4 linked regions of the Drosophila melanogaster genome follow. The protein of the gene in region 4 interacts with the protein of the main gene of each other region in a pairwise test. Each region holds a gene or a part of one and is shown on either strand. Other genes may lie near its edges.

Region 1 (8,809 bases), on a different chromosome or scaffold from region 4:
GAATCAACTCACAGTATTTAAGTTAAATTACTTTATTTTTTTTTTCGTTTTTGTCTTGTAACAATAAGTTTGCTTCAAAATAAAATTATCCTTTTTATTGTTTGTAAGTAATTCAAATTATTTTGTAAAGAATGTTTCGAAATAACGAATTGTTAAGGCACAAACACATTTGTTTCTCAAAATCAAGGTACAGGGTATGTTCAAATTGGTGTTCAGATTATTCCAATCTGAACACCAATTGGGTTGATTCCTAAAATATCATCCACTTGGTATGACTTGAATTAGATTGGATCACTAATAGTCAAATGGAATCATAACCATGTTGTGGACACAGGAGGTCAAATAAAAAGATGACCATAGAGAATGTTTAATGGCAATTGGATTCATAATGTTTCCTTTCGATTCATCCAGTGAATAACCAGACGCTCAATTGTATTAATTACAGCGAAAACCAGTCGGCTTTTTTAAAGACAATTAAATCCCGATCGATACATTTGGTATGAGAATTGCAACTGCAATGCTCAGATTTTAACAAAGTAAATGATTTGCCGACAGCGAAATGGATTGAAGAGCCACCTGGATGGCCAAAACCATATGTTCATTTAGCAGCGATAAGTATAGATGCCCTATAACCAATTAAAAGTAGCAAGTGTGGGCAAAACAGTAGAAGTAGTTGGAGTTACCTGTATTACTGATGATGAAGAAGTGAACTCCTCCTCCTTTATGGAAGTACACATTCCATTTTCGGTACACTCAAATGCTTAATTGGAAGTATAGAAAACATGTAAAAGTTTCAAATGCCAACTAGAGAGAATGCTATAGTCAAGTTCCCCGACTATCAGATACCCTTTACTCAGCTAGTGTGAATGCGAACGCGAAATTTCTGAATTTTTCTGGTATATCGATAGATATTGGGGAATAAAAATTGTTCAAAAGTGTGGGCGTGGCAGTTATGGCCGCTTTAGGGCGTTAGACTGGGTGTGGCAAAAAAAAAATTGTAAATCGATAGAAATTTACACGACTAATAAAATTATTAAAAAATATCCAAAAAAAATTTCAAAAATGTGGGCGCGGCAGGTTTGGGCGGTTTTAGGGCGTTAGAGTGGGCGTGCCAAAGTTTTTTTTAAATCGATAGAAACTTACACGACTTATAAAATAATTTAAAAATATTTCAAAAATGTGGGCGTGGCAGTTTTGGGCGTTCGAGTGGACGTAGCAAAACGTTGTTTGCAAGTCGATAGAAATTAATGAAGACTAATCAAAATGTGAAAAAATATCAACACATTTATTAAAAGTGTGGTCGTGGCAGTTTTGTGCGGTTTGTGGGCGTTAGAGTGGGCGTGATAGCCTTCTAGCATTTATAGTACCTAAGATCTCGACGTTCATACGGACAGACGGACATGGCCAGAACAACTCGGCTATTGATCCAGATCTAGAATATATGTATATCTTCTGTCTGTTACATACTTTTCAACGAATCTAGGGTATAAAAAATATAAAACCCTCGGTATAACCAGTACGATCACAAATTCATTAACAATATTCAAATATTTATAAGCAACTACAGTTTTTCCCGGCATTTACAACATATAAATGTTTGCCGGATCTACGTCCAATGATTGTGTTGCTATTTGGGCGATGTTCTTTTGAAAACTTGAATCTCCAGCCACGATGAGGACACGCTGTCCGGGAATCGCGGGATTGAGGTGGGTGGCCAGTTCGGTGGCATCTAATCGGGACACCTTTGCCGTCTCCTTGTAGCGTAGATTGTCCCGGAGCTGAGGGCACTGCTGGGCACAGTGGCCCGCCTCCTGGCAAGCGGAGGAGTCACACTGCTGATGCGGCAGGTAGAGGCAGCTCCTGTAGTTCCAGAACTGGGCGAACTCGAGCATCTCCTCGCGGAAGTAGACATGCAGCAGGTCGTGAGCGCACACCAAATGCCACAGGCGACTCATATCCTCCTCGTTGTCCAGCACCTGCCGAACCAGCGGCAGAGTGGGTGCAATAGCAACTCCCTGGGCGATAATATAGATGCACTTGGCCGGCTGCGGTTCGTGTACGTATTGCCCGATGGGACCACGGAATTCCAGCAGATCGTCGGGCTGTACGGCTTGCAGGTGCCGAGACATTGGCCCCTCCGGCTGCAGCTTCACCAGGATACGGAACTCTTTGGCCACAAAGTCGCTCCAATAGGGCGAATACGGACGCAGCAGGGAGCCGACGCGCAGCATCACATGGTGGCCGGGCGGGATGTCAAGCACCGTGTCCACCGCTCCATCGCCGTCCCCCTCCTCTGCTGCATGAGCAAAGTGCAGGAGCAGCAACTGTCCATTGGGTCCCAGCGCTTCCCGCCGCAACAGGCGGAACTTCGTGTAGCTCAGGATCACGTTGCGTTTGCCAGCCAGCAGGACGCGTTTGCTTGGCCGTGGCTTGTTGTCGAGGATGCAGTTGGTGCAGCCATTGCCGCAGCAGTCTGAATCCCGCAGCTGGTCCTCGTTTTCCTTCAAATCTTCCAAATAAGATAACATTTTCCTGTGCCTATCGAGGCTATCGATAGCAGGCTAGCGTAGCCGGAAATCTGGCGAATTGTAGCCAGACATCTGGCTAGTCCTTAGTCAAGCCAATCGCCAGAGCAGGCAAGAGTTATCGATATCGAATCTCGGGACAGAAATGCCAGTCAAAAAAGTGTGTAAATAAAACAAAGAACAGAATATCTACAGGGAAAGGGGTGAAAGATCGGCGCCAGGCGTAGAGTACTAACTGCCCCCGCCCCCCCACTCCATCATAACACACAGCCTTGTTCGGGCGAAGATCGCTTCGTGGAGCGGACGCGGTGCGGCGGGTGCCCACGAGCAACTAGTGTCCAGGTACCAAGTGTCCAGTGACATAGCTCTATGGTGTCCTCAGCAACATGAATCTGGAATCTCTGTTCCGCGACTTCAATCCCTGGTGAGAAGCCTCCGACTGCGGACGACCGGATCACATGGGTTCCCAATCTAAAACATAATCGACCATGTTCCCTTTCAGCAAGTTCATCGTCCACTGCAGCCTGTTCATCTTTGTCACGCTCTTCGCCTTGCGCCTCGACAACTACATTGGTGGGTACTTTTCTGTGGCAGTTCTGGAATACACAACGTCACCCAGAATTAAAATAGCACGGGGATGCAAGAAAATACAATCATATAACAATACAAGCATATACGACCCATACACAAATATGTGTACGGTGCACCATCGCTTCTTCTAGAGAATAGTCCAGATTTATTGTATACAAGGGTTAGCAAGCAGATCATGAGATTGGATATAGCAATATCGAAGAAATCGTCTGACCATAGAGGATCATCCAAATTTGGTCACTTAACGAGGATATTAGTTCTCTCGCTATTTTAAATAACTTATCTAAGCTAAATATTTAGATTTTTAATTACTGAACAAGATTTATTGTAGGGCATTAACCTTATAATTGGCCTAGTAGCCTAGTCTAATCGAATGCCTTATCCCAGATTGGCCCTACTGGGCGATTTTCACACCGCTATGGATATGGAAATGCACCGCCATCCTGGGCGCAATCGTAGGAGCCATTGTGTGGTGTCGGTATCCGCATTATCGTCTCGAGGGCGATGCCTACACGCAGTTCAAAGCGATGCTCATCTCACTGGCCCTGCACCTGATCCTGCTGATGTTTGAGCTGCTGGCCTGCGATAAGCTGACCTCGGACCGTCACTTGTGGGTGCTGGTCTTCATTCCGCTGATCTTCGGCTCGGTGGTTAGTGTGGGCGCCTGTGTCTGGGCCGTCAAGCACGATCGCTCCTTCGAGCTGGAGCTCTTCCTGGCGGTCAACGCGCTTCAGTTTGTTTCACTGCCGCTAAAGCTGGATCGCTTTGTCTACTGGAACTGGGACGTAGTGTTTGTGCCCATGTGGATCGTCATATGCCTGAGCCTGGTCAGCGTATTGTATAACATCATCTTCTGTGGCATCATGATGCGTACGCCGGAGGTCTCGCTGCAGCAGAAGAAGGCGGCATTAAACGCAGCGGTGGGCAACATCTGCACGGTGCTCCCACTGCTCTGCTTTCAGGTGAGACCTCATCTAGTCCCTCCAAAAGATTGTGCATCGCTAACCCATCTATTCCGCCAGGTGGTCATCTGCGACAAGCTGGACGGCGAGCTTAAGTTCCCGTACATCGTGGTCTTCTCACCGCTGCTCGTCTCTATTCTGGCGCTAATAGTTCTTAGCTCCTCGGCAAAGGGCGGCAACATGTGGTGGTTCGGCATCCGCAAGTCTTTCAGCCAGTTCCTGTTGTCCGCGATGCCGTTCCTGCAGGAGTACGGCAACATCAGCTATCACCCGGAAACCCACAGCAATGCTGCACAGTCCATGCCGCTGGACGCAGCGTCCTCCTCGACGAGCATGGCGGCCAGCGAGCAGCTGCACGAGTTCCACAAGCACGACAAGAAGAGCAAGAAGGGGGCCAAGAATGACATTCTCAAGCCGGTGGTTCCGTTCGTCAGCATCGATCTGCCGGACTAGATATAGACGGCCAGTACAGCACAGGAGCAGTACAGGAGCAACAGTAAAACAGCAACATTTACAATAAATCGCAAGAACCGCGTAGACTTAAGGACAGCCTCTTTGCACGCGCACAAGGAGACGCCGCACACCTTTGTTCAGGTGTTTATGTTAGGCATTGTTAAGCATACCCATACCCACTTACACACTCACGTCTCCGTCGTAGCTTTTAGACTTGTACTGAATTTTAATTGTAAGACAAACGCTAACACCGCCCACGAACCATGTCCAACCAACCAACCAACCAACCAAGCACATCGCACCCACCATGCTCCCTTCCACGCATCCGCCTGCATATGATAGCACATATAGCACATACATGCATACAGGACCTGACCACCACACGCTTTTGTCCAGACCCGAATCGGACTCCAACTTGACCACAAATTGAACAGCGCCGCATTCGGAATTTTGACTCGTGTGCTAGTATTATATGTAAAACATCTCTCACACCTTGAGAAGCCCACTTATGTGTAATGACCTACTATAAAGTGTAAATAATTAACAGAGTACGTGAAAACGAGAAATATACTTAAGTGCTTCCATCAAAATGAAAAGACGATGATGAAATGGTTCGAAATTCGTGTGAGTTGTATTTATCTTTATTCAATTAGGAAGCTACAAAGTTTACATATGTATTTCATAGTTAAGTTTTGCATTTCATTTTTAATTAATTCTCTTACGTTGTGTCGCCTAAAAAGTTATGCAAAGGTAAAAAGTTGCATTTTAAAAAGTGACCATCCATTTGCCGGACAAAATAATTGAAGATTAGCCGGTGAGCGGTATATATAAAGCGCATATATATATATATATATGAATATATGAATATAGTCTGCAACCGGATCGGATGCGACTGGAAGTACATATTCTTGGGGGTGTGGGAAAGAGAGAGTGAGGCACATAATCGGAAATGGGGAATCGAAATGGAGCGGGACAGAGTTATACATTAGTATAGATATAGTTAAAGTGGGCTAAACGCAGGCCGTGTAAGCATTAACAATAATTCAAATACAATATATATCTGATCGATCGCGAGGTGCAACTGGCAACTTAACTATTGCATAACATATCGCATGAGTGGGCGTGAGCTTGCTTGCATTTGTTAATCTGTATAACATTTTTTTTTTATAGAGTGTCCGTTTGTATTTGGTTTTTTGTGTGAGAATTAACAATTGTTTCATTGGCTTAGCTACATAAATACGTTGCTCGTTTTCGGGAACATACGGGGTTATTACCTAAGACGTCGATCTCCTGCAAATATAATGCACAATCGCAATCATAATTAAGGTTAGCAATAGCACGTACTACTTATCGAATAAAACCTTCCGCCTGAACCTGCTGTGTACATATGGCACAAAGTTGGCCAAGTAGCGATATCAATTTGAACTCTTCTCGATTTACACTAAGTACTCTTGTGTAGAAGAAAAAAAAACAAAAAAAAAACACCTACGCAACTCCTTTGCTGCAAAATATATTGATCCTAATCTGGTTTGCAATTCGGTTACCTATGATGGGCCTCTAGTTTTCACCGGATTGCTCCGTCTTTCGATTTTTATTTCACTATTAAAGTTGGCTAAGAACAATTGTTTACTTGGCTACATTTGCTTATACCACTGACCTTCTGACCCCGTGAGCACCAGAAGCCGCACCTCCACGTCCATTCGGATTATTCAATCCGATCCACGATCAGTGAGGGATTCTGAAACTATGGGCATGAGTTAGCTAGCTATCAACTATCCGGGAAATATCATTTGCCATCACTGCTCGGATGGAATCTGTGGAGGTCCTGGTTCGTTGCCCGCAGCAAAGTCGCACACTTAATGTCTATTGTCTGATTACCGTCTATTAGAATCGTGTCCTTGTTCCTTTTATGTTTGTTTGTTTTTCTTTTGTGGTTGGGGGCCAATAGGGCCTGTCCCAAGGAGGCTATTTCCCGCTGCTCGTTATCATCTTGTATAAACGATATGTACTAAGTGGTAAGTAATGCGACTTCTATTTATTTTACTTTACTTTACTGCCTAACAAATGAAACTGCTCGCACCTGGCTTGGCTCCTTGCATTCCATTCGAAATTGACATGAGATCTGGCGAGCTGCGATCCATTTGGTTTGGTTTTGGTTTTGGGTGCACTTAATCCCTAGGTAACTTATTTCACGTATTTAGAATGTGTACATAGAACGGTATGCCCTCTAATCTGGCAAAATTCTTTACATACTTGTTGTTAAATTCAATAGCTATATTAATCATGGAACTATGGAACATTTATCTCTGGATTTTGGTTTGGTTTCGCTTTCGGTTTAGATTGATACATAAGTGTAAGTGTAAAGAGAATCGAAGAATTAGAAGAAGGCTAAATTTGCTATGGTTGATCGGTATGGAAGCGCTTAGTTTTAAAGTTGAAGAAGTTCGTTAATTGTACGTTTCGCACGGGAATTACACGCACACGGTTCACTGGAGGAGTGGCGTGCTGGGGGCATCTAGTCCTGGTCGAATCTAGTCCAGTTTCGGCCGGTTGCTCAAATACTGGGCAAGATTCTCGCGGGGTCCCTGCACGATCATCATGAACTGCGATGGGAAGTCCCAGATGATGGTGAAGTGGAAAAGCATGTTGGCAATGGCGATCAAGTACTCGAAGAACGCGAACCAACTGAATGCTGTCAAGAGATGTGGGAATAGAGATGTGGGAGATTCATTATCTGTTTCGGGGTGGAAAATGTGAAACTAAGAGATTTGAAACGCACCCAAGTCGTGACAGTAGAAGCGATGTTTGGCAAAGAACACCAGCAGGCCGACGGTGCTCAGGATGGAGACGGCGAACAGGATCTTCTTCCACTTGATGGAGAGGAGCTGCTTTTCGCTCAGTGCCTGTCCGGCATTGAGGATGCCGTTCAGCTTGATGGTGGCCAGCATGTAACACAGCGAGCAGACCATGAACGTGATGAATATGCGCTCGTGAACGGCTGGAAGAGAGAGAGCAGACGGATCAGAGGGATCAGATGTACGATTGGGGGGCTGGGCAGGACCTACGGTAGTTCTCGCGATTCGATATATAGGTGACGCCGCCCAGGGACGCGATCTCGATGCAATTGAGCACCAGGATCAGCGTGATGAGCAGGCTCGTCTGAGGCACCTGGGCGGGACTGATCCGACGCAGCTGCGAGCGGTAGTAGTTCTTGTAGACAAAGGCGATGGGGATTCGCGGTCCGATGTGGAGCGCGATGCTGAAGCGCCAGAAGTAGCGCTGCGGACTGACGCCGGTAATTGCACTTATCGAGGGTATAATGTTGTAGACCTGGTAACGAATGCCATACATAATTAATAACATTAATCTGGAGACTGAAGATATGGTGGGAGATGCTCTTGAATATGGACGGACGGGTTACCCTTGAAGTGAATGCTCTCTATACTTGCAAGGAAAATGAATTATGGCCACTAATAATCAAAATATATATTAATAACATAAAAAAATCAGATATGTATAAATCTATTTGAGTTATATATATACCCAAATAGGAATATATTTCACTGGTGAAATTTATTGTAATTAAAATTAAATAAATGACCGCTGGTGAAAATAAAAACCGCCATGCGTGGAGCAATTGTGAGCGAATCGTTTGGAAAAGCGGATTTGCGTGTCTCCAATCTCGGCGGGATTCCCGCAGGGATGACAGTGATTTATTGGCCACGGGCGACGCGCCGGAGCCCTGCCCAAAACATTCATCATTCATCAGCATCATCCTGGCCACTGAATACCCTTGGATCGCCCGGTGCCCATTTACTCACGCGGCAATGTGTCTCGTGGACATCGTCGTACTGGAAGACGTAGGCGGTCACGAAGCACGTGAAGAGCGTCACCAGCGGCAGCAGGGCGGTCACCACGCACAGTTCATGGAAGCTAGCCAAGTAGTGGATGGCAACCTGCTGCTCCTGCGGCTCCCTCGCATCCGCCTGCTTGGAGCTAATCGTTGTGTTGATCTGCAAGGAGTTGCAAGGAATGGAGGCCATTAGGATCGAGCGGAGTTCAAGCAAAACCACTGCGCACTATACTTGGGATGTGCGAAATGCCACATAATAACATGTGATGGAGAGTATTTGCAACATATAGCTTTTCGTTATCAATTAAATGAATTAATTAATATTAAATTGATAGTTAAAATCCACTCATTGAGTTATTAACGTATAGGTAGTAATCAGTATTAGGGTTTTTCGAGTTATCATTGAAATTAAATATTTCCCAGGA
Region 2 (7,772 bases), on a different chromosome or scaffold from region 4:
ACGCAATTCGGCAAAGCCGTTGAGGCTGCGACGCACAGGATTGGTCCAGCCACCCGTCTTGGGGTCCTGGTTGTGGACGAACCACTCAGCCGCGTCGTAGAAGTGAGCCAGATGGTCACTGGTGGACAAGGTGATATTGTCGAAGAAGCCAAGGCCCAGAAAGCCAATAGATATTACCTCCAGATCGGAGCGCCGTATCTTTAGCGGCGAGCGTTTGTCACCCATGATGCCCTTTTGAAGGTCAATGTGCAGGTCTCGAGTGATGTGGCGCCACTTGTTCAGTGCCGAGCCTCCCAGACCGTAGTAGATGTTTGTATCCTGCACGCTCAGCAGCAGATCTGCGGGTATGTAGTGCAGGCTGTAGTTGTGACGGGTGTCCCGATTCTGAACGGTAATCATGAGACTACTGCTATTGGTTACCAGGAGCAGATCAACGCTGAGCAGAAGATCCAATGTCTGGTTTAGAGCAATGCTGATGACGCCTTCGTAACCAGGTGCCGTCTCGAACTGGACAACACTGGTGTTAAACTTGTGGTGCCAGATGCGGGTCATGTTGCTGGTCTTGGGCGTACTCCATTCCATCTGGTTCCCGTCGCCGTCCTCCAACACGCGAACCCTGGGTGCCGGCTCTGTGAGGTTCTTGCTGTAGTGCGACAACGCGAACTGGGCAATTTGTGTGGGGTAAAAGTACCCACGCTTCTCCCATTGCGTGCTCACTGGAACGCCCTCCGCGGCACTGATGCACTTTACCCGGTCGCGCACTTCCACGTTGTAGTTCTCAAAGTACATATAGACGCCGCGCGCATCGTACTTTCCCCTGGGAAGGTTAACTTTGGCTGTGCTGTGCACCCAGTTGAACTTGGCCACCTCATTGCTGTTGGTGGAAACTGCTCCACTGACGTCGAAGTAGTTACGCAGGAAGGAAAACGGAACGTAAACCTCGTTGGCGTTCTCGTCTCGCTTGCAGTGCACGGTGTACTCCTGGTTAATGGAGCACTCAATGTCGTGCAGCGCTGTAGCTTCTCCTCCGCTGGAGGACTGCCTTGCGGACCGGTCCAGAGGACGCACAAAGTCCGGCGAAAAGGAGAAGGCGGCGCAGCGCATATACACGCCCAGAGTGATTACCACCACAGCCACTGTGAGGACAAGCAGCACGGCTTTTAGGTTCAGTCGCATGATGAAAAAGACCAGTGGCTCGCGTTGCTAAAGAAAATTCTAAGATTAGCCAACTGATAACACGACGAAATAGACATTGTTACCTTTACCCCTTGGAATTTAGGTGGCTCCCGGTTTTCCCTGCTTACTGGAAGCGCGGGTGCGGAAAGGGCATCTCTCTGACTGCTTAGATATTTGGACATTCGGTTGGGGGCGAACTCTCTAACTGGCTTCTAGGTGAGTCATGCTCTAAATTTAAAACTGCATTCATCTGGCAGATGCATTGCTGACGATGATAATGGTGCACCAGTACGCGTACGTCTCTTTCACTGTCTCTGTCTAAAATTCCACCTGCCGAGCCTGTAGCCCTCTGAGTTCAGTCCAGGGCCATCCAAAGTTGATATTTCAAGTGCATCCAGTTCTCACTAAGCATATTTTGCTTAGATTTGCGCTGCTCTTCTCGCTTTAATGGGCGAACACTGCGAAAACACAGAAACTGCGATACAGATGAGCAAATGTTTTGACATATGACAAATGGTCGCTCTTGGGCGGCCTATGCACGTAAGCTATCGATAACAAGCATTAACCGTGTGCATCGTTACTTCTGTAGCTAAGTAATTTAAATAGTTTAATTTTCGAGTTTAAATAGTTTATATTCCTCCTTTGGTTGAAAATGAACTTTTATTTATAAATTCATTGGTATTTTCAAATGTTCCCATACGCATGCTGACAACTATCGACGAACCGATAGCATCAACACGACGGCGATTAATCAATAGTGCAATGTTTACAAAATATTTCGGGTGGATGTCGGTGAGAAGGCGCGTTTAACTAGTTTTAGTAATGTCTAGTCGTAGTTTAAGTGCAATAGTCTTGCTCCTTGGGGCGTTAGTGACCGCCTGCCTCGCCTCCAACGGCGACCGCACACAGTTTTTTCACAATTGCCGACAGAACTGCGAGCGAACGAACTGCTCGGCAGGTGAGAAGTGCTATCCACTTTAATTGCAAGTCTTAAGAGCAAGCTTCCATTGGCAGATGGACTGGAGATCCAGGAGCAGGCAGTCAAGTTTTACCAGCAGTCGGTGTTTGACCGGCTCTTCCAGTGGAGCTGCGCGGACGAGTGTCAGTATGGATGCATGTGGCGAACGGTGTTCGCCTTCTTTGAACGCGGTTGGCCGATTCCCCAGTTCTACGGCAAGTGGCCCTTTCTCCGCCTGCTGGGCATGCAGGAGCCGGCCTCAGTTATCTTCTCCTGCCTGAATTTTGTCGTTCACCTGCGCTTGTTACGCAAGTTCCGCCGAGAAGTGCGTCCGGACAGTCCCTGCTATATGCTGACCCACATATTCGCAGTGGTATGCCTTTATTTACACGATCAGCCAATAAAGTCGTTATACTAAGTTCCCTCGATCCTTACTCTTCCAGACGAGTCTCAACGGCTGGATCTGGTCCGCCATCTTTCACACAAGGGACTTTCCACTGACCGAGCTGCTGGACTACGCCTTTGCCTATTCCATCATCTTGTGCTCACTTTACGTCATGGTCATGCGGATGCTGCACCGCTACTCGCTGTTCCTACGGGGTGTTATCACGTTGGCATTCCTCTCCTACTACATTAACTACTTTGCCTACCTGAGCGTGGGACGGTTCAACTATGCGTTCAACATGATGGTAAACGTGGCTACGGGAGTTATAGCGGCAGTGGGATGGTTCGTTTGGTGTCACTTTGTGCGCACCCGCAGGCCCTACTTTAGAAGGATCCTGCGTTTCTATATTCTCATGGCGTTGGCTATGAGCCTTGAACTGCTTGACTTTCCGCCCATCCTCTGGATTCTGGATGCTCATGCTCTGTGGCACTTGGCAACAATTCCTCTGGCATCCCTATACTATGAGTGCGTAGAAATATTACTTTATTCTAATATTGCTACATGTGTTTGCATTTTAGCTTCATGATAGAGGACTGTCGAACCCTGCGAAAGGAGAAGGCTGCGGCGGGCGGCTATTCATTCTACAATTAGTATTATCTAAGTTATTCTTAGCCCTTAAAGCACGCAAAGCTATCTGGCAATTTTTCTGACATATTTCATGTAATTTGTAACAGAGCGAAAACATGTAATGTATTTTATTGAATGTCAAAGCGAAAACATCCTTTGACAGTAACCAGAACGGCAGGAAAACTAATAGCTTCGTTTAAAAAGACATAATAGAGACTTTATTACAACATTTAGAACTCCGTGCTACATTTGCCCGCACTGCGAAATGGTCACTGGGAGCTTCGGCTTGTTATTGGGGCCCGTGGGCACGTTCTCGATCTTGCGCATGATGAGCAGTCCATCCAGAACCCGACCGAACACCACGTGCTTTCCGTCTAAAAAGTTGCACTTGGCGCAGGTGATAAAGAATTGGCAGCCGTTCGTCTCCTTGCCACTGTTTGCCATGGAAAGGAGGCCGGGCGAGTCGTGCTTCAGGGTAAAGTTCTCGTCGCCGAAGGTGTTGCCGTATATGCTGGTCACGCCGGTGCCGTCGCCCTGCACAAAGTCGCCGCCCTGGATCATGAAGTCCTTGATCACCCGATGGAAACTGGCGCCTTTGTAGCCAATGGGAACGCCATCCGGTCGGTACTCGCCCGTGCAGAACTGCCGGAAGTTTTCCGCCGTGCGGGGCACTGTGTCCGCAAAGAGTTCGAATATCATTCGTCCGATTTCCTGCACACAAAAGGCGTTAGAAGGCGGAGTTATGTACAGATTATGACTAGATTGTTTTCAGCTCACCGTTGTGCCTACGGCAATGTCGAAGAAAACGACGGGATTGTTGGAGCTTCTCAGTTGGGACTGTATTTGATTCCAGTTAGGCATTTTAAAATTATTTTATTTGTTTATAAACTTTCTAACAAGTCAAGATTAAGATTTTACTAAGCCGGCAGATTTTTGTTTATGTTTATTACGATGGTTCGATGACGATGCACGACAAGTCGATAGCATCACAAGCCGGTTATATCGATAGCACACGTGTGCCAAGTGCTTGTTTATATTTTGCTGTGCACATATTGGTGAAACTATTTAATAATATTTATTAAGGTGAGTTTATTTATGATTGGATTGATTGATGAGTAGAGTGCATAAAATAGTGCATAAATATTATTATTGTTGGATATTGTTTCGGCATTATTTTTAGTTGTTTATTTTTATTGGCAAGTTTCTCAAGGCCTGCAAAATATGTATGCATACTAACATATTTCGTGGTCCGATGGGCAGGATTTTTTCCTGATAGGATATGCGTGTGTAAATTCTTCAACATACATACGTTCCCACGCTAAAAGCTTTTATCACAAAGAATGACAGAATGACCCAAAACACTTGTATCTGTATGTACATGCATTTGTACCAAAGTGGGAAATGGAGATATGCAAGAGACAAAGCAAGTGCAGTAGCAAGCAACAATTGTATGCCTTAGCATGCGTAAGGAGACCGATATATGTATATTTATATTTAGTTTACTTATAATTAGTTTATACTTTTAAGATGTAGTGGTAACGTTTTAAAGCAAACTTATTGAGACATATATCATATACAAAAATTAAAAAAAATACTATTTGCGTCCCCCAAAGATCTCCCAGTTGGATTTTGGATAGACTCTTTGCCAAGGATTCCCGTAATTAGCCATTTTAGGAGTTCTGTTGGAAACGAATGGCCCCAATTAGCCCTCTCTGTTGATGAATGAAGACCTTTTATCGACATAGTACAAAAACGTATGATAATTAATAAATATTCGTGAGCATTGTACTCAAGAAAAATGTAAATTTTCCGAAAAATATGCACGACAATGACCCCCATTTGACGTTAAGATCTGCTTAGTGAAAAATAGATTTCATGTTTTGGTAGTGACAACACATTCCCGGGGATCTTAATCCCATTGAGGTCTCCTTGATGAAAACCATATCCTTGGCATTGTGTTCGTTTGTGGGTGGAATATCATTTTCTAAACAGATGCACAGCTTTATTGGATATTGGATATAGTTTTCTGTACGTTCTGGTTTGTTTAAATGTATCCTCTTGGACGACTCTGTAAATTTTATAATAATATACATTTATAATGTACATATCAAGTTGCTTTAAACATTAAGATTGTCCTTCAAACTCCCATTACAAGACACGAGATACATTTTCCGTTGGATTGTGTTTGTATTTTTTAAAAACTTGCATAAAAAATGCCGAGATAATGTTTATAAATAAGTGCTTTTGTTCATGACAGTAACTTAAGGTAGCTAAACGGTATAAGCAGATGCAAATGAGTCTATCTTTAAATTACATGATATTCAGCAACAACTAAGGTCCTACTAGTACATAAATGGATGTTCTTAAATTCAAACTGAGCAATGTTAGTCGGTAGTCGATTGATTCATGCCTCATTTCAGCTCGACAACTAATACTAGGTAGAGGTAAATCCGCAAATCCCTTTTCGGGTCGACGCTCAGTTACTCGCCTCGTCCGTATCCACGTCTGATATATCTTTGAGTTTTACGTTGCCATTGCTGTTGTTCCTGTCATTGTCATCCGCCGCCTTTTGGAAGTTCTCCTGAAGAGTTTTGGGATCGACGACCAGGATGGGTGTGCACCCGTCCATTAGGTGCTCGCTCTGGCTCTGGTACTGCTCCCGCGAGATGCTGCGAGTGAAGGAGAATCGCAGCGACTTTGTCCTGGTCAGCCTCTTTTTGATGGGTGGCTTGCCCGCCACTGGAGCCAATGGCTCTGAGCTGGTCCGCTCTGAGCCTTCCGGCGTGGTTGGCACGGAGCTGGACTCCAGCTGGTGGTCCCGCAGTATTTCCTCAGCAAAGCACTTTATCTGGGTCCAAGCTTCCAGGATGTCCTTCTCAGTGGCGTGCTCGTAGGTGACGCAGAAGCGGATCACGTAGCGGCCGTTGAACTTGGCCGGCGTCATATGCATCTTGCCCGAGTGGTTGATCTGGGCGAGCAGCATGTGGTTGGGCTCGTCGCCAGTTCTGTAGAGAAGATTGAGTAGATCATTAAAGACCAGCATTCAGATTTAGCTGCTTTCTTCAGTTAGGTAAATACTAGCTAACGGTTAATGGTTTATAAATGGTTTAATGGTTAATAGACTTACCGCATTCGGAAGCAAACTAGGCCAAGGTGAACATCGTTGCGAACCTCAAATCGTTCATCCTTGCGCACCAGCATCTCAAACTTCTTAGCCAACGCCATATGATTTCGAATGTATTCCTGTAGGCCCCGAATGCCGTATGTCCGGAAGACGAACCACAGCTTGAGTGCCCGGAATCGGCGACTCAGGGGAATGCCGTAGTGGCGGTAGTCAACTCCGGTCAAGTGCTCGTGTCGTAGGTAGAGGGGATTCACGTTGAGCGCGCTCTTAAGGTTCATCACATCCCGCACCCACAGGGCAGAGGCATCGAAGTTCGTCAGCAGAAGCTTGTTGGGATTTGTGTTGAAGGAGTCGGCGTATTCGAGTCCTGCCGAAAAGACCCGCATCTCGGGCAGAATGAAGGAGTTTCCCGCATAGGCGCCGTCTACGTGCAGCCAAATGCTCGACACCTGGCGGCACACCTTTCCGATCTCCGTGATGTCGTCGAAAGCGCAGCCGCCGGTGGTACCCACAGTGGCCACTACAAAGAAGGGTGTCAAGCCGGCGTTCACATCGTTTTGAATTGCTTGGCGGAGTAGGTCAACGCGCATGCGTCCATGCTCGTCGGCATCGATTATCCGGAGCTTCACCAGGGCCATCTTGGTGGCCTTTTCCACGGAGGAGTGTGCCTCACGGCTGGCGTATGCGATCAGGCTGGGCAGGAAGACGCTGTCGTGAACGCTGGTCTGACCCTTTAGCTCGCTGATGGCCCGGGCGCGGGCTGTGATTAGAGAGACGAGAACGCACTCTGAGGCGGATCCCTGAAGGGCGCCGCCGCCTGTACTGCCTGGGGCATCCGAAACAAAGGCCTTGGGCAGGCCAAGGGCCTTGGCGTACCAGTTCATCACGATCGTCTCCAGCTCGGCAGCCGCCGGACAGCTGGCCCAGCTGAAGCCAATTGAACCAATGGCACTGCTGAGCATGTCGCCTAGGACCGATGGAAAAGAGTTGCCCGAGGGGAAGTAGGCGAAGAACTTGGGGTGGTTCCAGTGCACCACGCCCGGCATGATCTTCTGCTCGAAGTCCTCGAGCACGTCCTTGAACGGCTCCGGCGACTGGGGAGCGTCGGCTGGAGATAGAGATAAACAGGCAGTCGGGGATTAGTGGGATGGGCCTTAAATATTTCGTTTATCACCCATAAATTTGGGGGGGCCAGCAAAGGCAGTATTTATGGCGGGTCTGTTGTTTTTGGCAGTGAGTAGAAAGATCAACAAGTAAGTCTATACGCAAGGTGTGTGTTTGCGTATGCATAATTAATTGATTTGTTTAGTTGAACTCGGGATTGCGGCGTCCATTCCGGCGTAAATATTTAACTTAGCCAACTGCGCGGAATTCGCCTGAAATTCGCCAGCGAAACCTACTCTCCAACCTGCCAACCTCTGAGGTGGACGGAGATCGAAGATCGGAGAGATGGCTGTCGAGTGTGCCCCAATTATGCCGGACCCACCCACGCATCTCGTTGC
Region 3 (7,100 bases), 220 kb from region 4:
GGACGGACATTCAGGGAATCGCCTCACTGCGAGGAATAGTTCTCTCCCAGTCTATGGTGGATTTGACAGCTGTGTCGCCTTTGGAGTGGGGTGTGTTTGTTTAGAATCTTCCTTACCGACTTTGTAATGACAATTGTATTACACCTTTAGCTATCAGCTTTCAAGACACGCTCGTGCAGCCACACAATGAGATTGTATGCACGGTGGGACAGCGGTCGCTGCTAAGCATCCAGCTGGCCAATCAATCCCTGCAACCACTTAGAAATCTGGTGCTGAGCATTAAGTTCTATCAGGATTACCTGAACGGAATGGAAAATTACAATTTGGAGACACGCGTGGCCATTTCAGGACCAAATAGGTGAGAGCTGAAGAAAAATATTGAAACGAAGCAGTTAAATATTTAGACAATATCAACCCTCTTAGAATTGCAATACCACTACTGGAGAAGCAGGAGCAGAAAGAGCATACTTGCTCTGTGATATTCTTTACCCCCGGACGTTTCAAGGCCAGCATCGAATGCACCAGCAATCCGCAGAAGCAGTCGGAGCAGCCGTCGTCATTGCTAACCCGCTCCTGTCCGGCAGAAGCGGAGAGTGTCGGCCAATCGGTCATGTTCTCCTCCAGCTACGATGAGCAGCAGGCGCATGTGTGGAAGTTCATTCCGCCCATCGAGGTGACCGTCGTGGAGCAGTGAAATGTTACCTGTCGCTAGTTTAATTTCGTTACAATGTTTGTGTATGTATTGTGTATACACCCCATACTAATCCCCTACTCTTGTTAAAGTATTTGATTCCCACGCGCCCTGTTATATCCGTAAACACGAAAAGCAATTGTTTGTAAAGAATTCTTACCTACATAGATACAACATGTAACGCATAACACTGTATATAATTAAGCTGAAACACAAAGTTATACTGTGCCCCAAGCTTGATAGAGAAAATGGCCATAACATAAATCATATAACCTATAGTTCATGCCTGTAAAACATATACATATTTAAGCAAGCGATGCGCTATTTAAATAGATAGCCAATGTTCCGCGCACTAGAAGCCACGCCAAGCATTATACATTTTGATAACGAAGCTCGTGTTTAAAAAATATTTTTATACAATTACCGGGGCAATACACATGTATCATAATGAACTACATATTAAGATTGTTGCTAAAGAAATTATGCCAATGAAATGTGTGAATAACTGTAGTGTAAAAGCAATAAACTCTATTTGACGAAACATTTGGTGTCTTTGGTTTCTCCTTTTCAGCCGAGTCTTCGTATCTCGTCCATGGTGAATCCGTTGCGGTTGAGCATTATGCAGAAGAGCACGTACACATAGTAGCTTCCCGGGATGAAGGTCAGTGCCCCGATGATACCCAACGCCCACACCCGATCCGATCGCTCCCGGCTCGTGTCCGTCACCCAGTTTAAGGTGGCAAAGGCGATGCAAACCTGAAGACAAAGACATCAGATCAGAAGTTCGAAGGAACTGTGCATGTATGTGTGGGCACCAGTAATCACTACTCACAATGCCACCGATAAACAGCAAAAGAATGATAATAATGGTCTTCCAAGGCACTGGACCTGGCATCGCCGGTTCCGTCCACTGTTCATTAACGAATCCATCGGTCTCGCATTGGGACTCCACCACCTTGATGTACTCTCCGGAGCCTGCTGGCGCGGAACTCCTGCCCCCTCCATTTAGGCGGTGCCGCGACTCCGAATTGGTGGGCTCCATATGTGGTCTCTACCTACTGGCAGTTGATCTTGACCAGATGCCAATTTCAGACTAAACAAACAAGCATTTTGCGGCAAGTCAATGTTATCAGGAAAACAGCTGACGAGACTGCCAACCTGGGGAAAATCAGCAAGCACAGTAGAGACCAAATAAAACGAAACATACACATATCGCATAATAACACATCCTTAAATATTTAACTTTTTAATTTGGAAAGCTTTCTTGCATGCCTGAACTAATCAAATGAATTCGAATTTTTAATTTTTCATCGCACCGGTAATTTGGAAAACACAGAGAATGCATAAAATTATTTAGCCATCCTTGATGGTTGTTTCTGAGCACCAATCTGCCACACGTTCGTTGTCGGGATCCAGATCAAATCCGTCGTGGTCCAGCTGGCTGGGAACAAATCCGGAGATCCAGGTCCACTTCATTCGCCTGCCCAAGAACGTCTTGAAGTTTCGGCGCAGTTTTCGGTCAAAAGGAATGTTTTGAAGTTCAAAATCATAGCAAAAATAGCCACGAGACCACTGATCATAAGCCACATAGGTAGCTACGCATACCCCGATCCACAGCAGGACGAATACCAGAGTGAACACCAGCTCGTATATATCGGGCAACTTAAAGTAGATTATCCTGATAATAAGCGAGTTAAAATAGGCAGAGTTCGGTGCGGGATGTGTCAGCATAAAGAGCTGGTATCTGCCCCCATGCAGAACGTAAATAAATATCGAAGATGACGTTAGTGAAATCATGCAGCTTAGAAAAAAGTAGATAAGAAAATAGAAAAAGTATCTATAGTTCTCATGACCGATGCAGCAACCAGTAAAGAAGCAGTGATGATCTCGCATCAGGACACAGACGCCACACTTCCTGCAGTGACGTGACCGGGGTGGAGCAAGAATCCCGCACTTGTCGCACTCGTGCCAGTCCTCACTGTGCTGTCCGCGCACCAACTGATTCTTCATAAGCTTGGGATCGATGCTGGGGTCCACCAGGATGCACATGACATAGTTGGACATCACATTCGAAAAGAGGAACAGTCCCAGCAGCAGCTGAAATACGTAACCAGGTGACCAATAATCCGACAACTCCGGCAGAATTATCTCCATTAGAACATAGTATATGGCGGGCAAGCCACATAAAATGAACAAAAATAGGAATTGCTCCAACTTCTCTTTTGGCCATATGTTCTTCAGCGACCGAAACCTCATTATAACGAAAGTGATTTGATCAATTTGTAAAAACTTTACTGCAGATTGCAAAACTGGTTTGGAAAAAGTATTGGTGTGACTTTGAATTAGTTATTCCAGCCTACACGATGTATCAATATTTTTTCTCCCTTTTCCCAACCGTCTCTCAAAAATATTTAAAAAATAAAACTATGGCAAGCTGCATTCTGTTTCTATAAATATAATTTTATTAGATTTTTTACGTCCACTTTTCTGGCATCATGCAAGGGAGCCCTGTAAAATAAATAAAAATTATGCATAAGTATTTAATCATTATTCAGGGGTTACTCTAAATATATATTTTTACAGACAGTTCTAAAGATTTCCTAAAAAAAATATGTGCAAAATTATTTTTCTTTACTTTTGTTTACGGATCATTTTCATAGATTTAATAAATACAAACAAAATTCATGTTGTTTTAAAGAATACCCTTAGTTTCGTTTTTGTATTTGGTATTTTGTTTCCTAGACAATAGCTTAAGACTTGGCCTCAAATACTCCCATATTTATATATACGTACACATAACACTTTAAACTTACAAGTGTGGAAATCCTTCTTACGTAGGGTTTCTGTCAGAGAAATTCGGGTTTCAGCATTATCTAAAAAGAAAGAGTTATTGTAGTGTTGTTGAACATAAAATCACGCAAGCTAACAATATTTTAAAAATCAGATCTACTATCGAGATAAATCAGTCACAGATATCAGACGTCCCTATCTAACGATTTCATCACAAAAAAAAATCATAAATCTTTAGCAATCATTATACTTACAAGTGTGGAAATCATTCTTTCGTCGGTTTTCAGTCAGAAACATCAGTTTTTCTGCATTATCTAAAAAGAAAGAGTTATTGTAGTGTTGTTGAACATAAAATCACGCAAGCTAACAGTATTTTTAAAATCAGATCTACTATCGAGATAAATCAGTCACAGATATCAGACGTCCCTATCTAACGATTTCATCACAAAAAAAAAAAAATCATAAATCTTTAGCAATCATTATACTTACAAGTGTGGAAACCATTCTTTCGTCGGTTTTCAGTCAGAAACATCAGTTTTCTGCATTATATAAAAAGAACGAGTTATTTTAGTGCTGTTGAACATGAAAGCACGTAGGCTAGCAACATTTTTAAAATCAGATCTACTATCGAGATGAATCAGTCACAGTAATCAGTTGTCCCCATCTAACGATTTCATCATGGTTGTGGAGATCTTCTTTCTGTATTATTCTTACCGCGTAAACTTCCCATGCTGGTTGGTCCCAAGAAGTCTCAAAGTGAGACTCTTTGGGTCACAGCTGCCAGGCTGTCAAAGTGAATTGCTCGTTTCTCGTGATCCGCACATCTTTTAGTTACCATATAACTTTCAGCTATTTGACATATCTTTCTCTATTGTATTAAGCAAAATTTTGTTGCGTTTTCTATTAGCCATCGTGCTAATTTAGTTTATTTTTCTTGGAATGGGCAACACGTGGTGCGGCTTTCGGCTGGCATTAAACTGTGACTGCTTCTTCACCACCGTGACAAGAAAGAAGTGACGAACAAGAAAATACTGGAATGGAAATATTCTGTATTTTTTGGTGATTTTTGAGTGGCGCCCCGTTTTTAAGATTTTTTTGAACCTTGCGACGTTTTTTTTTTTAGGTTTTTATTATATAAATAGATATTGCGATTCGGACTCTGCTACGGACACATAACTTGCTTAAAACATGTACAACTTTCGGATCTTAATTGGCCAACAAATGAAATTGCTTATTACTTATGATTTACATGGCAGTCAGAGACCTTTCATGTGACTAATCTGAATCAACAAAACTAATCTCACTCGATACAAGGCTGTCATTACTCAAAAAAAAAGGGCATTTAATTTAATGGGGCTAACCTAAGATAAAAATTAGTATCAAGCCTATTACCAAATACGATTAATGTGGGCAAAAACATAGTATGAATACTATAAATTTAAAAATCTTTGGCTCCCTGAAGATGATTACTGCTCTGTTTTGTCAAATATTGTCGATGTTATCGAGCAGGAGTTTGCGAACAAGACGAGCATGTCATGTCTGATTCTCTGATTCTGATTTAAGAAGTATAATCCTTTTTTTTGGTTGCGACAGTCTTGCATTAAGTGAGCTATCTGTATACTAATTGGGTCACAGGCGACTCATGGGTCCTCTGTGGATGTGGTTGCCTCTTGCGCTTGCTGCTCTTGCTCCAGCTCCTGCTGCTGAGCCAATCGCAGACGCTTTTTGGCCTGGATGTCGGCCAAAGTTTGTTCGATGGAGCGCACATCCTTCTTATTCTTGCTAGGCACGAATCCGTAGCTTTGGTTGGTCTCCGTCTTACGGGCCGCCTGCAGTGCGGCCGACTCTCCGATGAGGTGGGCATACTTGGCCTTGTAGTTGGTCGTGGGCTTAACTTCGCCGGAGTCCTGATCCGCTGATGTGGATGTGGACGAGCCTGAACTTGCTGCTTCGGATGTGGAGGCTTCTTTGTCACTTTGCTCCTGCGCCAATCGTTCCCGCCGTCGCTCCGCGTACTCCTTGGCTATCTCCTCGTTCCAACCGTCTCCGTTCCGACGGGCCGTGACCTCATCCTCGCCAGGAGCGTGTTCCTTTTTGTACACAACCGAATGTCGGTCCACATCCTCGCGGCCAAAGCTCATGGCAATGAAGCCGCCATTTTCGGCTACTTCGTGGATCACCGAGCGATGCACTTTATCCAGCGGCTGAAACTCGATGCATCGCCTGTCGTCCTTGGCGAATCGCCCCATCCGTTCGTCTACATATTTTCGGAATCGGAGGAGCTCCTCTTTCTGTTTGTTCTGCATCCGCTCTAACATTTCGCGCTGTTTCTTGATCAGCGTCTTCTGTTGCTCGTTGTTGGCAGGCGGCGCATCCATGGCGTTGAGTATTGAGTCGAGCAGATCCATTTTTCCGCCGTGTTTTCCTCGCTTAATGTTGAGCAATTGGCGGATGTGCGCCTGCAATGCCATCGAAAGATATGCGAGGGAATTTCAGTTAATCGAGCTGTTCGCTCTTCGTGGCCGTATTGTTAGGAACTTACCACTCTCTGGCGTTTATTATTATCCCGTTGAGATGTTTGATTGCGGTTGATCAGCTTGTTTTAGGTGGTTTAATGTAATTATAATTATATTGACTACCGGTGCTTGTGCACCAAATAAACTCTGCAAAAAATACTGAAAGTGAGGATGGCCAACTTGGTCGCTATTGCCATACTTCGGTATTTTCGAATCGCAAAACAGCTGTTTACACTCGACGGACGACTTGAAACATAAATTCTTGAAAGATTTAAAAAAATGTATATACAATATCTTGCTCAAAACATGTAAAAAGAGGTTAGACATTTCATTTTGTAATTTTAAATTGATTAAAGCATGTAGAGCATGAACGTTTAACAAGTTCTACGTTTTTACATCATAAAATATTATTGTGAACATATTTAAATTTCATATTATGCAATGAAATTTGTCTTCATATTATTTGCACTTGCCCTATCTACGTATGTGAACAAAATAAACACGCTCACCAGAACATTATACACTTTCCTTGCAGCGCAGTGTAAATAAGTTCAGAAAACGTGTTGGCAGGTTCGTTAGAACGCTCTTGCTTTTGAAATATATTTTCTACGATAAATCCGCATAGGTACCGTTTGAAATCGGGGACACGTGCCAAAATGGATTCACAAAGGTCCACGTTGGTCCACTGGTTCCGTAAAGGACTCCGGTTGCACGACAATCCGGCATTATCGCACATTTTTACCGCCGCTAACGCTGCTCCAGGAAAATACTTTGTTCGCCCGATTTTCATTTTGGATCCAGGAATCCTCGATTGGATGCAAGTGGGTGCCAATCGATGGCGATTCCTGCAGCAAACGCTGGAGGACTTGGATAACCAGCTTCGGAAACTTAATTCCCGTCTGTTTGTGGTGCGCGGGAAGCCCGCAGAGGTTTTTCCCCGTATTTTTAAGAGTTGGCGCGTGGAAATGCTAACTTTTGAGACAGATATCGAGCCGTACTCCGTGACCCGGGATGCTGCCGTGCAGAAGTTGGCCAAGGCAGAGGGTGTGAGAGTGGAAACTCATTGCTCCCACACGATTTATAATCCGGAATTAGTAATAGCG
Region 4 (7,916 bases):
CCGCAACATCGCCTCAGTCAATTGTTTGCTAATTACATTAACATTCGACCACGTCTTGCGTTTTATTGAATACATCATCGTCAGTTTTAATTAAACACCAGACAATTGGCATCCCATTCAGCTCAAAAGTTCGTCACATCTATATTAGAACTTTAAATGTGTTCTACCTTTTGTGAGATATACATAGGGAATTAATAATAATTATGGATTTATTTTAATGATTACAATTTGTAATTTTTGGATTTAAATATCATTGTCCGAATGTAAAAACCTGAATAGTCTGACCAAAAAAATATTATTTATTTAAAGGAAACACACTTAAAGTCAGAATATACTTTATAGTTTGAAAAAGCTGCATACAAATAGAATTGAGTATCAGAGAAAGTCTAAAAATGAGAATTTTTGAATATTTCTCTATACATTTATCTCCGAACACATTAGAACACACAGCACGCTTTAATGTCGTAATTTCTGAATCTAATTGCCGAATATATGATTTGAATTTATAATATATCAAAAAGAATAACAACCGACAAAGCATTTCCATTTACACTTAACCAAATAATTTGTACCAACTTCTAAAATGTTTACTTGCAGTTCCCGGTAACCCGCAAATCGTGAGGTCCTGCTACTTTGGCAACATCGCCGACACGAAGGTTGGATGCCAGACCGATCCCAGCCTGACGATCAACAAGTTGCTGAGCTGCGAGGTTTGCACCGAGGACGAGTGCAACGGAACCTCCTCCCTGGCCCCCATCGCCGGAGTCATACTCCTGTTCTTTGGCCTGGCCCGTCTGCTAGCCTGAACGAGGAGCAGTTTGTAGTACCGCTGAGCTATCCCAAACATATCGAACTTGCTGTTGGGAAGCCAGACCCATGGAGCTGCTTTAGTCACCTTTGAATCTCTTGTAATTGTTACACCCTTTTAAACTGTTTTCGCCCACATTAAATGTCGCTTTATTTATGTGAAGATATTTTATGGTTATTCGTAGATTAATTGCTAGCTTTAACTGATAGCCTTCCAGTTGGGCAAGCAGAAAATCCATGCGTGTCTGGCACACTTCAAGAACTGGCCCCATCCAATCTACGTCTCTTCTGCAGGGCTCTCTATATGCTGGGCTGACGATTATACGAACAGACGGAAAAGCGGAAAAGTTCTCTCTGTGATTTTACTCGCTTCGACCATACACTCCCAGTTTTCCTTTTCCATTTCCATTTCCCACAGGGTCGCTATAAGTTCGGCGCGTCAAGTCTCCACCCGCTAAATGTTCATTAAATTTAGACAAATTAAAACGCTGAGCGATGACGCCAGGCGAAATGGCCATAAAATGTTTTCACCACAGAAAAAAGAGAGCGATAAACGGAAAAGAGAAAAACGGCAAGGAGTTGAATTTGGAAAATGCTTTTGGCATTCTTTTAGTTCGATTTCGTGTGCGGACGTCGACTGACAGACGGCTCCAAGAATTTAGCCGGGAAATCGGGGAAAATCAAAAAACAAAACTGAGGGAAAATTGGCAACGCGTGTTTACATTTTTATTTCCTACGTGCTGAGACCCAAATAAATATAAAATAAAAGTCATTTATATAGTTGAAAACACACATTTATTTATATTCAAAATATATACTATATTTGCTTATACAAAACATACAGTTTTGTATGTTCAAACCTCGTGCGGATCGTTTCAATTGCGCCGAGCAGAGCTATAAATAAGCCCGCCACTTGAATTATTTTCCATAAAACCATCAAATACAACAAATTCCAATCACCAGCGAGAAAGGTGGCAAACCGATTTTCCTCCCATCAACAATGCAGCATTATTTACTTTTGTTTGGCGCGCTCATCTCGCTACTGGCCTCAGGTTTGTTTTTGTTCTGTTTGGACTTGTTTCTTTCGAATTTGTACTTTGCTTTGCGAGTTCTGCGTTTGCCGCGACCTGTCGGCTGTCCCCGCCTGATCTCATTTCTGCCATAAATAAGACGCGTCTCTGGTCTTCCCATCCCAATGCCACTAGCTTACGCCATCAAGTGCTATGCCTGCGAATCCGTCTACGAGGCTAGTTGCGGCGACGACTTCGAAGTCGAGAACCATTTTAAATACGACTGCGCCTTCATTGCTCCTCCGCGATTCCTGGAGAACGATCTGCTCAGCGTGAATGCCACGGCCTGTTTGAAACGGGTATTCAAGGGTGAGTTTAAACGAATATGTTTCTCAAAACACGTTCCTACGGATTTGAAGCCTTGCTAGGATAGTAACTTTAATAGTTATGAATCAATAGGTATAGTAAAAAGAAAAGAAAGTTTGAAATATAAGATTAAAAAGTGGATATATCGTAATTCACCAAAAATGTATCTATCCACCAGATATTTTTTTAAAGTAATTGTTCATTAATTACAAATACAGTCCGATTAGCAGCGGACAAAAAAAGTGTGTTCCGAAAGGTAAATGTCTGTATACTCATTAAACATTCGCAATGTTGTCCGTCCGAGATTTGTATTTACTCTTCAGATAATAATTTCTTTAATGATTTGTGACGCAAATCAAAACAAATAAAATTAATTATGTGAAACAGTCATACATACATTCATAGACATACGTGCATATACGGACAGCTGTGACCTTATTTCAGAAGAATCTCGTAGACTTTCCAACAATCTCTTGATATTTTGGACAATACGTACACATTTCGTATAAGCCCATTAAAGACGGACAATAAAAAATGTGTTTATTTACGATAAGTCAGCCCGAAAGTAGACTAACCCAATGTTTTGCCTCTGCAGAAAACGGCGTGCGTAAGATCGTCAGAGGCTGCTACTTCGGCGAGGTAAATGCCACCGATGTGTGGTGCAAAATGGACCCCACCCTGTCGGCGGTGCAGAACTCAAGTTGTCATGTGTGCGACAGCGAGAACTACTGCAACGGATCGGAAAATCATCCAGTGGATAAATGGAAAATCTTCGGCAGTCTGGTCTTGTTTCTCTTGGCAACTCAACTACTCTGAGGCGACAGGAGACGAAGTGGAAATGTGGAAATGTGGAGCGTGAAATGAACATTAAAAGGCACAGTAGCTTAAGTAAACCTAGTTCAATTTAGATGTATTCCCAAGGCCCAGGACTATCAATTAGTAAAGCCCACATTAGTAGAGCACACCATCCACAAAACCGTTTAGCCAAATCTGCCCGGCCCACTGTATTAATGGCTAATCAACGCCGAACATGGCGTATGAGCAACATCAGCACACCGAAATGAGCCGAAAAGCTGGCAAACAAATTTCGAACGATCCAAATACAAACTAATAAAAACTAATTTTACACAGAATGCCAAATTGTTTATTTGTTCAAATGCCACTAATGAACCTTGCCTGAAATAAATGGATTGGCGAGGAAAGGGCAAAGGGAATGGCAGGGCAGGGTAGGGCAAGGCAGAGCACGATGTCAACACGCATTGGCCAGGGAAAAGCCAACGATGGAGAAGTGAAAATGTGAAAAAATCTGTTATGAAAATCAAATTCACATTCTGAATGCGATTGTTCGCACGTTCAGTTCAGTTTCTGTTTAGTTCAGTCGCGTGTGTGCATCGCTTCGAGTCGGTGGTCGGTGGTCGGTGGTCGGTGGTCGTTGGTCGGCGGCTTGTGGCTATATAGCGCATCTATCATGTGATTAAAATCGGTCCGGCAACCGAGAAGACAACATCTGTATTCGCGCACGTATCGGCATCGCCAAGCTATAGCTATAGCCATACTGACTCACCGCGACCGCCGGACGACAGTGGAATCAACTGTTTTCGGGGGCGGTACGATGGCGATGATGGCAGCGCTTGCCTCGCTCTTTCTGCTCGTCACGCTGGCCAGCTCAGGTGAGATTCTCGATTCGCGCCCGCCACTCATCACATTCCTGCCCCGAAATTGTAGTTCATATTTTGAAATATCTCAGAAGCAGAAGACTGTCAACACGATTTATTGCGAATCAGTGAATTTAGGGTTTTACCGACTGTTTTGCGGGAAACTGTTCAGTAAAGAAAAACATATAAACAGCTTTCTTTGTTTATTTCATTGTTTACGTATAGAGTCTAAAAAGTTCAAGAATTATATTACAAATTTTAATTAACTTACATCTGAAAAGAAATTAACGTTTTGGAACATTAAGAATGGTTTTAAAGCTAATTGTTTACTTTAAGATAAAGATAAGGTCTACCAAAATGCTCATCCATTGTTTTCCTTTCTGTGCACTCTCGTGGACACACATTTTTACGGATGTCGTCATCAGCCCGTGCCATTACCTGCTACGAATGTGATTCCGTCAATAATCCAGGGTGTGGGGAGCGATTTGTGGGCGATGACATATCCACGACGGATTGCGATGTGGTGGCGAACATGCGATCCCTGGGAGCGGAGGCCACTTGCCTTACCAAGTACCATGAGGGAAGTGAGTATACGAGTATGGTTTCTGGAAAATATGTCAAGGAAATCCCTTATAAAATGACTCACTTTTCGCAGTGCCAGGAGACACGCGCTTCGTGAGGCGCTCCTGTTACTTTGGCGATGCCTCCCCAATAGGCGTCAGTTGCGACGATGGACCAGATCCTGTGGTGCCCTTTATGAACTTCCTCGGCTGCACACTGTGCGATACGGATTTGTGCAACGCAGCCGCTGGATTATCCACACTACCCTTGGTCATTGCCCTTTCGATACTCGGACTGCTTGTCCTACTGGCGACCTAAGGAAGATGAGTCGCGTGGAACGGCGGCGGTCGTATTTCAATGTTTCCTATTAAAAGTAATATACTCCAGTATTGTATAAAAGATTGTTGTTTTCTTGGTCGACTAACTAACATGACTTCTTATACTCATGCAAAGGGCGCAGAACAAGAACGACCCAAAGTTTATCCTTATATTCTTAATTTTCTAAGGCAAATGGCTTAAGTTATAAAAAGCCTACTGAATATGTAATAAATTTAACTTAAAGCCCCTAGAAGAATGAAATAGAAGCAAATATTTTTTAATTTTTATTTTATTTGATTTTCTTTCCATTGTTTTTATACATCCACTAAAATGATTTAACATACATATATATTTATATAATTATACTTGTTTGATTTAATATAATTTATTGAATAAAATTTACTCGTTTCCTACTCTACTAGCGTGTGTATGTAAGTATGTGTATGTGTGTATTGCAATTAGGATCATTAATTACAAAATATTCATAAAATAAATTAAAATAACACTTTCAAATCGATACACACAATTTCTGTTTCAATATCTAGTCCATTGATTTCTTGATCGTCAAACAATTCTAGTTTTACATTTATTTCCAGTTTATAGCATAAATTATTTTATGTAGGCAAACAGATAACATCTTTGCTTATTATCTTAATGGGTTTAGCTGCGGATTATATTCATAACACTTCTGGGCTACACATAAATAACATTCAAATATAAATATATGGATATTTATCAAGATATTGTATATAAACTACACATTGAGAACAATTCAGATAGAAAACAATTTATGTACAAAAGATTGTGTTTGTTTTTGCTTCACCAATACTGTCCATGCTGGCGTTGTCCGGCGGAATCTCTACGATCCCAGCGAGGACCACTGCCGCGTCAATGCCACAAACAATCGTCGTCCATCTTTCCGCGTCTTAAAGTCTATCAACAATTCATATCATCAGCGTGTAAGCATTAGTCAACCAAATATAGTAAAACTTATTGTTTCAACACGATTCACAGTCAGAAACAAATAACAAACAGATTTGCATTGCATGGATCAACTTGTTCAACTTGTTTTGTAGTTGGGTATATAATGTAGTTCGTTTATATAATGCTGCGTGCGTACACATATACATTGAATCATAGTAACAACAACACACAGAGTTTGTTTAAAACCTATTCATATTTAGTTTGCTTTTCACTGCTGCACCTTTCACTGATTGCAGGTTACCTGGGTTATATTGGATGGTTATAATATAATTTTTAGGGTATGGGATTTGGGTTCGGGAATTGTGGAGTACCAGCTCCTCAATGAAATAGTTGTGGAGTGTTACCCATTACATTCTGCAATCTGTGATCACTCCTGTCCCTTCCCCTCAATTCGTTGTAGTTCTTTTATTTAAATGTAACAATTCGTTTGAGTAGTGCAACGATCAATAAGCCATCGGAATTTGCAGACACTCAAAGGCAGATGAGTGTTCGTCCAGAGGGAAATGGGAGGAGACACACCATGTTATTTTTGTAAAACATAAAAATTGACTAGAAAAGTGTGCAAAAATTTTGTGTACGTGCAGTTTTTAGGTGGAGGTGAGCAAAGAATTTCGTTGGTATTGAAAATGGAATGGAATCTTAAAATAATTATTGATTGTTCTCCGTTTTTGTTTATGTCTACCTATGAAGCCTTCAACTTGTAATACATTTCTTTGTTTTCCTTTTTCGTTTTTCGTTTTGAGATCAATTGCACATGGTGGCACATGGCAGCTCTCCACTGCCCAATCGTTCCTTCAACTTATTTTGGACTTTGAACCGACTACAAATTCCGCTGCTTAAGGACGTTGGCCTTATATTCATTACTTGGGGGCTAAATAGTTATAGTTTATATGTGTAGTATCTGAGCATATCATTGGCGTCAGCAGCAGTACTAATCGAAAGAGGTTTGGTTTTACTTTATCTCTATATTTTGCGACCAAATGGGACAACTTTCAGAAACATTCAGTTGTTTTCAATGCAATTTACAAGTTACACTTTCTATACACGTAGCAATAATAATATTAATAACATTAATAACGAATTCAGTCAAGTCAGTAAATTTGGTTTACAGAAAGAAAAATACAGTTTCATAAATTAAATGAAATAACGCTAACAAACAAAAATGATGTTGCAGCCCAAATTTTCCGGTGTGGTATTCTGCTTGAAATTTTTAAGGAATTTTTTCTTTGCTCCGGGTACATGGCTATAGAAATACGTTTTACATATAAATATACACATTATAATAATTCATTTTATATATACTTGTTTGTATAGATATCATGTATATACGTATGTAAAGGGGTTATAACAACTAGGGTATTGTAATTTCAAAGCTTTGCGTTTTGAAACATGAACTCACAGAGTATTTCCATTATATAATATATAATTTGTTTTAGCTTTGCATTTTTTCATTAACATTTAACATTAACACGACGACGGCAGCATTTACTGCTGCTTGGCCACTTTCGATACATTTTTATAAATAAGCTTTCATAAATGTTTACACATTTTCTCATCCTGGTACCATCAGCATACGCCAATAATGGGCGGAAAGGAAAGCAATCTGTAGGTGTTTGAGTTGGTTAAGGAAACGCGGGGGAACGTCGAGCAGTTTTGCTGAGCACTTGATCATCGGCGGGCAATATCGGTCAGACTAAGAAAGAAGGTTTTTAGATGCCCACGAATCCGTAGACTTCCAGCACCCGAATCTCGAAGTCGCCCGACGGACACAGCGGCGGATTGTTAAAGGTCTTGCAGCTGTCCGTCTTTCCGAAACGAATGTTCTCGTCCATCCAGATGGCCTGCCCCTCGCTGTAAAATAGAGTGGAGAATGAAATATAAGGGCAGTGGTAGCCACGCGAGCAGCTTGAATCTTACCCGCCACCAATAGTGATCATCTTGGAGTCGGCCGCCATAAATAGTTCGGAGCTGTGTCCCAGGTCCTTGTCGCCCTCAATGCCCACCCATGGGTACTTGGCTCTTTCTGGATATAGGGAGAACAAAAAGGTTTCGCCCGTACCGAAGTAGGCCTGTCGCTGGCCCTTGTCATCTTTTACATTTCTTTCAAACCAGCGCGAAGAGCAGTAGGCACCAAATACCTAATAAAAAGAATCAAAATTTGATTTAGAAACTATTCAAATACCACATTTTCACCACGTTTTCACATCAAACAACC

Evidence for each region.
Region 1: the proteins of CG14401 (region 4) and CG14194 interact in a two-hybrid assay, tested with the Drosophila melanogaster proteins (one large-scale study listed by BioGRID).
Region 2: the proteins of CG14401 (region 4) and PGAP3 interact in a two-hybrid assay, tested with the Drosophila melanogaster proteins (one large-scale study listed by BioGRID).
Region 3: the proteins of CG14401 (region 4) and CG18810 interact in a two-hybrid assay, tested with the Drosophila melanogaster proteins (one large-scale study listed by BioGRID).

The regions. Positions count from the first base shown.
Region 1 is NC_004354.4:19,190,921-19,199,729, forward strand, and holds CG14194 (uncharacterized protein), read left to right. Parts: upstream 1-2,634; 5' UTR 2,635-2,911; coding exon 2,912-2,949; intron 2,950-3,027; coding exon 3,028-3,098; intron 3,099-3,503; coding exon 3,504-4,078; intron 4,079-4,138; coding exon 4,139-4,531; 3' UTR 4,532-5,117; downstream 5,118-8,809. Other genes in the region: CG7914 (uncharacterized protein), read right to left, coding at 1,581-2,528; CG7990 (uncharacterized protein), read right to left, coding at 7,063-7,223, 7,311-7,529, 7,597-7,861, 8,353-8,544.
Region 2 is NT_033778.4:6,671,684-6,679,455, forward strand, and holds PGAP3 (Post-GPI attachment to proteins 3), read left to right. Parts: upstream 1-1,920; 5' UTR 1,921-1,998; coding exon 1,999-2,134; intron 2,135-2,190; coding exon 2,191-2,507; intron 2,508-2,577; coding exon 2,578-3,044; coding exon of another isoform or gene 3,045-3,097; coding exon 3,098-3,170; 3' UTR 3,171-3,378; downstream 3,379-7,772. Other genes in the region: Hsepi (heparan sulfate C5-epimerase), read right to left, coding at 1-1,203, 1,260-1,358; CG17266 (uncharacterized protein), read right to left, coding at 3,390-3,857, 3,924-4,007; Tdc1 (tyrosine decarboxylase 1), read right to left, coding at 5,623-6,151, 6,274-7,378. UniProt on the Drosophila melanogaster protein: Involved in the lipid remodeling steps of GPI-anchor maturation.
Region 3 is NT_033779.5:20,644,884-20,651,983, reverse strand, and holds CG18810 (uncharacterized protein), read right to left. Parts: upstream 3,073-7,100; 5' UTR 2,948-3,072; coding exon 2,045-2,947; 3' UTR 1,905-2,044; downstream 1-1,904. Other genes in the region: brun (brunelleschi), read left to right, coding at 1-90, 151-358, 424-694; CG2611 (uncharacterized protein), read right to left, coding at 1,259-1,447, 1,524-1,733; CG2608 (uncharacterized protein), read right to left, coding at 5,122-5,889; phr6-4 ((6-4)-photolyase), read left to right, coding at 6,654-7,100.
Region 4 is NT_033779.5:20,866,339-20,874,254, forward strand, and holds CG14401 (uncharacterized protein), read left to right. Parts: upstream 1-3,515; 5' UTR 3,516-3,795; coding exon 3,796-4,009; intron 4,010-4,263; coding exon 4,264-4,422; coding exon of another isoform or gene 4,423-4,434; intron 4,435-4,493; coding exon 4,494-4,717; 3' UTR 4,718-5,134; downstream 5,135-7,916. Other genes in the region: CG9338 (uncharacterized protein), read left to right, coding at 598-806; CG31675 (uncharacterized protein), read left to right, coding at 1,808-1,859, 2,013-2,186, 2,779-2,999; sky (skywalker), read right to left, coding at 7,411-7,552, 7,619-7,839.